2 linked regions of the Mus musculus genome follow. The protein of the gene in region 1 purifies or fractionates together with the protein of each later gene. This does not show direct contact. Links are inferred from orthologs where the notes say so. Each region holds a gene or a part of one and is shown on either strand. Other genes may lie near its edges.

What was found.
Region 2: the proteins of Ubr5 (region 1) and Cep78 purify together in Homo sapiens (affinity purification with western blotting; 3 studies listed by BioGRID, with this or other methods). This does not show direct contact. The link is inferred for Mus musculus from reciprocal best matches to the Homo sapiens genes UBR5 and CEP78.

The regions. Positions count from the first base shown.
Region 1 is NC_000081.6:37,966,797-37,970,973, reverse strand, and holds the end of Ubr5 (E3 ubiquitin-protein ligase UBR5), read left to right. Parts: intron 1-626; coding exon 627-712; intron 713-2,468; coding exon 2,469-2,681; 3' UTR 2,682-3,646; downstream 3,647-4,177. UniProt on the Homo sapiens protein: E3 ubiquitin-protein ligase involved in different protein quality control pathways in the cytoplasm and nucleus. Mainly acts as a ubiquitin chain elongator that extends pre-ubiquitinated substrates.
Region 2 is NC_000085.6:15,971,449-15,975,098, forward strand, and holds part of Cep78 (centrosomal protein of 78 kDa), read right to left. Parts: intron 3,505-3,650; coding exon 3,440-3,504; intron 3,020-3,439; coding exon 2,908-3,019; intron 1-2,907. UniProt on the Homo sapiens protein: Centriole wall protein that localizes to mature centrioles and regulates centriole and cilia biogenesis. Involved in centrosome duplication: required for efficient PLK4 centrosomal localization and PLK4-induced overduplication of centrioles.

The sequences.
Region 1 (4,177 bases):
ATGTAATGGGCTTTGTTTCATTTTAAAACAAAGTCTATTGAAGGGAAAACAAACATCATATGTAAAGATAGCAGATGAGCAGCATCTACATAATTTGAAAACTTTAGAAATGTACACTCTTGGTTTTTTTTGAGACAGGGTTTCTCTGTGTAGCGTTGGTTGTCCTGGAACTCACTCTGTAGACCAGGCTTGCCTCGAACTCAGACATCCGCCTGCCTCTGCCTCCCAAGTGCTGGGATTAAAGGTGTGCGCTGCCCTTGCCACCACCACCCCCCAGTAGAAATGTAGACTCTTTGGTGTCCTTTTCTTCCATCTTCTAAAAGGTTTCATGTGGCTTATAGCTCAGTGGTTTGAGGAGCACTGTGGCTTAAAGTCACAGCAGAAGAAGAGGGTTTACAGATGAGGCTGACATCAACCTTGGTGGTGACAGGTCACTCTCTCTTACTCATCCAGAGTCAGGATGACCCAATTAATTGTACAGGTTTGTAGTTACACAAAAAGCTTTAGTTTCTTGTTAGGAATTAGATGTCTTAAATTTTAAAGTTCAATGTATCTCTGTTTATATAAGCTTACTAGTATTCAAAAGAAACAACATCTAAAACAACACATTGAATTTATATTCTCAGGAGAAAATGCTGAGAAGCTCCTCCAGTTCAAACGGTGGTTCTGGTCAATAGTAGAGAAAATGAGCATGACAGAACGGCAGGACCTGGTGAGTGAGAAGTCTCACAAAACTTGTAGAGTGAAATGCAAGGGGTCTGCTATGCTTTGTTGTTTGGTTTTGTTTGTTTTTTGGGTGTGTGTTTGTTTTCGGGGATGGGATGGTGGGTCTCTCTTGGAGAACAGTTTACGGATAAAGGTTCTGTGAAGTCTGCCACTTTGGTTGATCATTCATCCCACTCCTTCCCTCCTCTCTTCCATTTCTCCTGTATGTATTTTATCTGCATGTCTGTCTGTGTACCATATGTGTGTGGTGTCTTCAGAGGCCAGAAGAGGGTGTCAGATCACCTGGGCCTAGAGTTCGAGTTCTGAGTCATTGTTTGGGTCCTGGGAATGAAACCCAGAGCTTTTGGAGAAGCATCCATTCCCTGCTGACCCAGTCTCTAGCTCCATCTCAGTCTGGAATCTGTTTCCAGTAAGCCTTTTCTTCCCTGTTAACTGAGTGGATGAGTCCGGCTATGTTCCTGGTTCTTTTGGGGAGGGTTTGTTCCTTCTTTTTCCTCTGTACTGTTCTAAGATGATGTTTCTTACACAATTATGTCTTAGAAAATAACCCCAATTACTTAAGTTTCTGAGTTACTCCGTAAAGTTATTAGATTTATTTCAGTGCTTAGTTGTACAAAGTAAATACCATAGATTAAACTCTGTCCTAGAAGATTGGTATGTGAATGTATAGAAGGATAGATCTTTCAGAGTATTTTATATTTATAAAGTACGTATTTCCGTAAAGAAGCATTTTTTTTAATATTTTGTAATAAATAGAGTAACATTAGACACTTACTGGGTATCATTGGCACTATGTGTTGTCCAAAATAAATTTTTGCTAGCATTCCATATGTCATTGTATGAAATTTCGTCCATTGTAGATATTTCCCAATATTCAGTTATTGTTATAAAATTACTGTGTATCATAATTAGCATCTTATTACTTTGCTAGTAGATAAAATATAAAATGGCTTTTTAACTAGCCTGGGGTTGTTGGTTAAAAAAGAATTTCTCTTTTTTCCCAGTAAGTTACTCAGAGATCTTAGCTATAGTAAAGGCTCTTAGTGATAGCTTGACACAATAGCTTCCTGTCTCAGATGAGAAAACTCGGGCCTCAAGACAGTTACAACAAAAAACCCATAATGTGACACCCTTTTTTCTCCCTTAATCCTGACATTTTTTCTTAAATGTAGTTTATTGCATTATAATTGATATTGGTCTTTTAGTATAAGAAAATAATTTTGAAACTAAGGGAGATTTTGTTAGTTGTTTTGAGATTATAATTACATCATTTCTTCTCTTTCTCTCTCCAAAGCCTCCCTTGCTCTTTTTCAAATTCAGGGTCTGTTTCTCTGTGTCTCTGTCTCCGTCTTGCTCTGTGTGCCTCTGTGTGCTCATGTTTCTAAACACATAAGTAAAGCTTGCTCAGTTTGTATAATGTTATTTGGATGGATGTATGTTTTAAAGGCTGACCATTTGGTATTCGATAACCAACAGAGTGCTTTCTAGGAAAGTCTATTTCTCCTGCTCCCCAAATTCCTTAATTGTTGATAGTAATGTGTTTATGGTTGAAGCCTCCTGGGCTTTCTCCCCATCCATATTAACATGCCTGTTGTTGTCCTTAGCTTATATTTAGGCAGTTGTGTTAGTGAGGCTTTAGTTTTTAAATTGGGTTTTACACAGTGGGGTTGTTTATGTTGCTGGAATTCAAGGTGACTATTAACCTATTAAAACCAACATTGTAATTATATATCCTTGTTTAGGTTTACTTCTGGACATCTAGCCCATCATTGCCAGCCAGTGAAGAAGGTTTTCAGCCTATGCCCTCGATCACAATAAGACCACCAGATGACCAACATCTTCCTACTGCAAATACTTGTATTTCTCGACTTTATGTCCCACTCTATTCCTCTAAACAGATTCTCAAACAAAAATTACTACTCGCCATTAAGACCAAGAATTTTGGTTTTGTGTAGAGTATAAAAAGTGTGTATTGCTGTGTAATATTACTAGCTAATTTTGTAGATTTTTTTTCCCATTTGTCTATAAAAGTTTATGGAAGTTAATGCTGTCATAACCCCCACCCCACCCCACCCCCGGTGGTACCTTAAAGAGATTAAATGCAAACATTCCTTGCTGAGTTTGTAGCTTAAAGGCCTGAGAAGCACTGGCACCTTTTCTCTATGATGGTTTGCTAGTCGCCAACTTCTAGGTCTAACCCCAGCCAAAGATGACAGCAGAACAACATAATTTACACTGTGATTTATCTTTTTTGCTGAGGGGGAAAAATGTAAAATGTTCTGAAAATTCACTGCTGCCTTTGTGGAAAGTGTTTCAGCAAAGGTTCTTGTATAGAGGGAATAGGGAATTTCAAAATAAAAAATTAAGTATGTTCTGTGTTTTCATTTTAGCTTTTTTATGGTGTTATTTGTGGTTGGCTGCAATTGTGTATCATGTATATGGAACTTGTAAAAAGTTCTTGACATTCGGATTTTAGAGACAAAACCACTTTTACCTATAAAAACCTCACTTTTAGTGTGGGTTATTTCAGCTACATTGAGCTCTAGGATACTAAATACACTAATAGTTTGCATGTAATGTGTTCATTTGAGAGAGGCACTTTTCTGTACATAAAATGGGCCGACGCACAGTACCTTGCCACAGTCACCTTTTTTCTTTGTACCCCTCTTTCAGTGCAGGTGGATAGGTCACACTGCACTTGAGTGCTAACCAGATGTCTGTACTAAGGTTATGTGTACTCAGCCTGGGCACTTTCTGATAACTGTAAAATGTTTTATAAGATCATGAATACTGAAAATTTTAAATTTTGGAGAATTTTAAATGTTCTTGAGCAGCTTAACTACTTTTGTATCTAGCCTTTTTTTTTAAGTATCTTGTTACATTTTACTTTTTTAAATAAATTACAGAAGAAATGTCAAGTAACATTGAAGAAACAGTTTTTATTTATATAGTTGTACATTTTTTAAGCTAGGGGCAATGCACTGACATGGTTATATTCATACTTTTTTTTTAAGTTTATATACATGTGAACTATAAGAAAGTTAAGAAAATCAGTCCACATTTTACAGTTAGCAGAGAATCCTAAATGGCACTCAGCCAGGCCTTTTCGTTTTACAAGTAGAAGTGTGATTAGTCAGCACAGAAGTTTTGAGTCAACTCCATGACAGGCATCCATCCATCTATCTATCTATCTATCTATCTATCTATCTATCTATCTATCTATCTATCTATCTATCTATCTATCTATCTATTTTTAAAGATGCTCTGTGGTCTGGGACCAATACCCTTACATTTGTGGACTGAGAGTTTTATTCAGTCAGATAACAAGGAATTAAAAGTCCCTACTAGGATTTAAATTAGTTACTTAAATATTCAAAAACAATTAACGATACCTGTCTTTTCAGTGCCTGTTTAGGACTCCTGGCCTTTGATAGTTTTCATGTTTAAAGGG
Region 2 (3,650 bases), on another chromosome or scaffold:
ATACTGGATGAAATGAGGGGCTTAAACATGAAATACATGTAGCAGCTAAATCCACATATTAACACTTAATTTGAACAAACCCTCAAGTTCACATTTAAGCTTTTGTCTCTGCTATCATTGAAAACAAATAGCAAAGGCTTACTACAGCAGCTCTATTTCATCTTAGCCCAAGAGTTTTATGTCAGTCTTATTAGTGAGATTCTGTTTTTAAAAAAAACCCAAAATGTAATAAAAACAGAACAAAATAAAATGGCTGTTGTGTTTGTCTTTCTGGCCTCTTTTACATGTTAGAACTTCTTCAGCAGTGTTGGACTGCCATCTAAGATGGCGCATATGCAGTAATATACATCATATTTCTTTTAAGAGTTAATTTTTAATATTTCTTTTTATTTTATTTGAATTGGTGTCTTACCCGCATGAGTGTCTGTGTGAGGGTGTCAGATCTTAAGAGTTACAGAGAGTTTTGAGCTGCCATGTAGGCGCTGGGAATTGAACTCAGGGACTCTGGAAGTGCACTCAGTGCTCTTAATCACTGAGCCATCTCTCCAGTCGCCTAAAGTTAATTTTTTTTTAAATTACACTAATTTAAAAATTAGTAATTACACTAATGTGTGCTGTGGCACACAGGTGGCGGTCAGACCTGGATTTGTTCCACTCTGTCATTCTTTCTTATCACAAAAAGTTATGAGTGCTAAAAGTAATGTGTTCTAAGGCTGGACTGTAGCTCAGCTGTTAAGAGTGCTTGCCTTATGAGAGCCTAAGCTGCATCCTTACTCATCCCCCTGTAATCCTGGGCATTGTGGACTTGTCTGTCACCTCAGCATGCAGGAGGTAAACACGGGAGGATCTGAAGTGTAAGGAGACCTGTGGCCACACAGTAAATTCAAAACTATCCTGCACCAAGATTAAGACAGAAGGTTTTAGAAAGTAAGTTACTACAAGGTCTGTGCCTACAATCCCAGCACTTAAGCAGGCAGAGGCAGGAAAGTCGTAGCAAACTCAAAGCCAGCCAGAGGAAGAGTGTATCTCCAAAAAAAAGTTAAAAAATTTTTAGAAACACAATATCAGAGCCAAATTACAAAAAATGCATACATTTAGAAGAATCTCGTTTACATTACAAACATTAGTTTTCATTATGGTTTCTTTTACTGTATCAGTGTTTATACAGTGTGCTTGCGTGCATGCGTGCAGGTCCAAAATAACTCATAGGAGTTGGTTCTAGCCTTGTAGCATGGGTTCTGAGGGCGCACCTCAGGTTGTTCTGCCTAGCTGCTAGCCCTTGAATGTTGCTGTTATAAAAAGAACCTTTCCATTTGTACCCAGTCACAAAAGTAATAGCCTAAAGTTTAGGTTAACTAATACTTAGAAGTGTATTTATATACTGTAACACACACTGGAGAATTATGTTGGCTAGTTTTACGTCAAGTTAACACAGCCAGAGTCATTTGGGAAGAGGCAACTTCAACTGAGAAAAGGTCCTCACCAGAATGGCCTGTGGGCCATTTTCTTAAATGATGATTGATGGACTGTGGGTGGTGCCACCCCTGGACAAGCGGTGCTGGGGCATCTGGGCAAACAGGATGTGTGGGGGTTGGTCTGGTGCTGCTATTCAAATGCCAAATACTGGCCCCCAAGATCTTGTTGCCCCTGATGAACAGATCTTCATGGACAACAAATAATGCTATGTAAACCTTGCTAACCAAGTTATTCCTGATTGGTTAATAAAGATCCCTACAGCCCTGGCTGGGCAGAAGAAGGGGCAGAGAAAAGGTTCCCTGGGCTTGGGGTCTCCTGTAGAGACCAGGAGGAGAGTGAGAGAAGAAGAGGTCGCCATGGGGCAGCATGGATCATGAGCACATGCCCAGGAGGCCTGGCCTGATAAGCAGGAGCAGCCCAAAGGAAACACAGCCAGTAATATCTTTGGGATTCTGACTGGAAACAGACAAAATAGCTTGCATGGTTGTTATCTACCCAGCTCTAGTGTTGTAAAGCTTAGCATAAATCTAAAGGTCCCTGAAATGGAGTAGAAACCCCCCCAATAGATATTTAAGGGCAACAAAGGGGCATAGCTAACCTCCAGCATAATAATTACCACTGCAAGGATGAGCGAGCCAGTAAGCAGCCCTCCCCCACGCCCCTGCACCAGCTCCTGCTTCCATGCTCCTGTGTTGAACTCCTGCCCTTACTTCCCTGGATGACAGACTGATGTGGAAGCGCAAACTGAAATAAACCCCCTCCTTCTCAAGCTGCCTTTGGCCATGGTGTTTTGTCATGCAACAGAAACCTTAACTAAGACGAAATACTGTTTGTCTAGCTGGGCTTGGTGCTGTTTACCTGCCCCACAACTACCCAGGAGCTGGAGATAAAGCAATCACAAGTGCCAGGCCATTCTGAAACACAGCAAGAACAGATCTCAGAAAAAGCAAGGGACACTTTCCCAAAGTGCTCCAGCCAGACATCAAAAGCTCGTCCTCAGCACTGTTCTTCCGTTCAGTGGGGGAGCACTTGCCTCCCACGCATGGGGCCCTGGGTTCAAGCTCCAGCACTTTTTGCTAAGTAAAAAAGTGATGCATCAGAGAGCATCACAAATCCCAACTGTAAACTATGAAGAATCATCACTCAGGAAACAGTCGATATGACGACTATTTTATATGTAAAAAACCAACAGCTGTTAATTTAAAAAACAGTAATGCTGATAATCCTTCCAAATGATTCACTTACTATTTCTAACTGCCATGAGTTTCCATAACCTGAATTAGAATAATTACAGTCTAGGCCCCAGAATATACCGTAATCAGCATTGGTTATTACCCAAGAGGTGAGACCTTATAGTAACACACTAACACATGGTAGGTGCAGGTGTTGGAGACATAAAAAGCAGACAGACAGACAGACAGAGTCGGTTACCAATTCTAATGGTTGCTTTTCCCTTCCGGCTGCTTCCTAAGACAATTGTTTTCTTTCTCTGCTTAGCGGTTTTAGACGGTTCCTTTGATGATGGGGATGTAACCCACTGGTACTGGAAGAGACAGACAGGTGACCAGCTACACATGAACAGGACTCAACTGTAGCTGGACACAAGGAGGATATTTTACACTTAATAAAGCTTTGCGATTTTCAGTTCTCAAATCCCAAATCGAATAATAGACAATATTTTAAAAAACAGAAAAGACATCGGGCAGTGGTGGCGCACGCCTTTAATCCCAGCACTCGGGAGGCAGATTTCTGAGTTTGAGGTCAGCCTGGTCTACAAATCGAGTTCCAGGACAGCCAGGGCTACACAGAGAAACCCTGTCTTGAAAAACCAAAAAAAAAAAAAAAAAAAAAAAAGTCACCTGATTTTAGTTCAGATAGCAGAAAAATATCACCAATTTCACTAAAAGCAGAAGAAACGGTAACTAAAGGGAAATTCTGCCCACAAGGCTGACAGGAGCCATACCTCTGAGTCTGCACTCCTTCCGTTCTGGAGGACCTTTTTGATAACTGCTTTCATCATAGAATGATCTGAAGTAGAAGAAAAGTGAGACTGTTCAAGGTACACCCCAGGGACTGGCTGCCTGCTCACAAACAGAAGCCAGCTGACCACTGCTTTCCCATACAACTAAACAACATCTCTATTTCTGCTTCTGGATGGCCTTCCTCACCAGCTC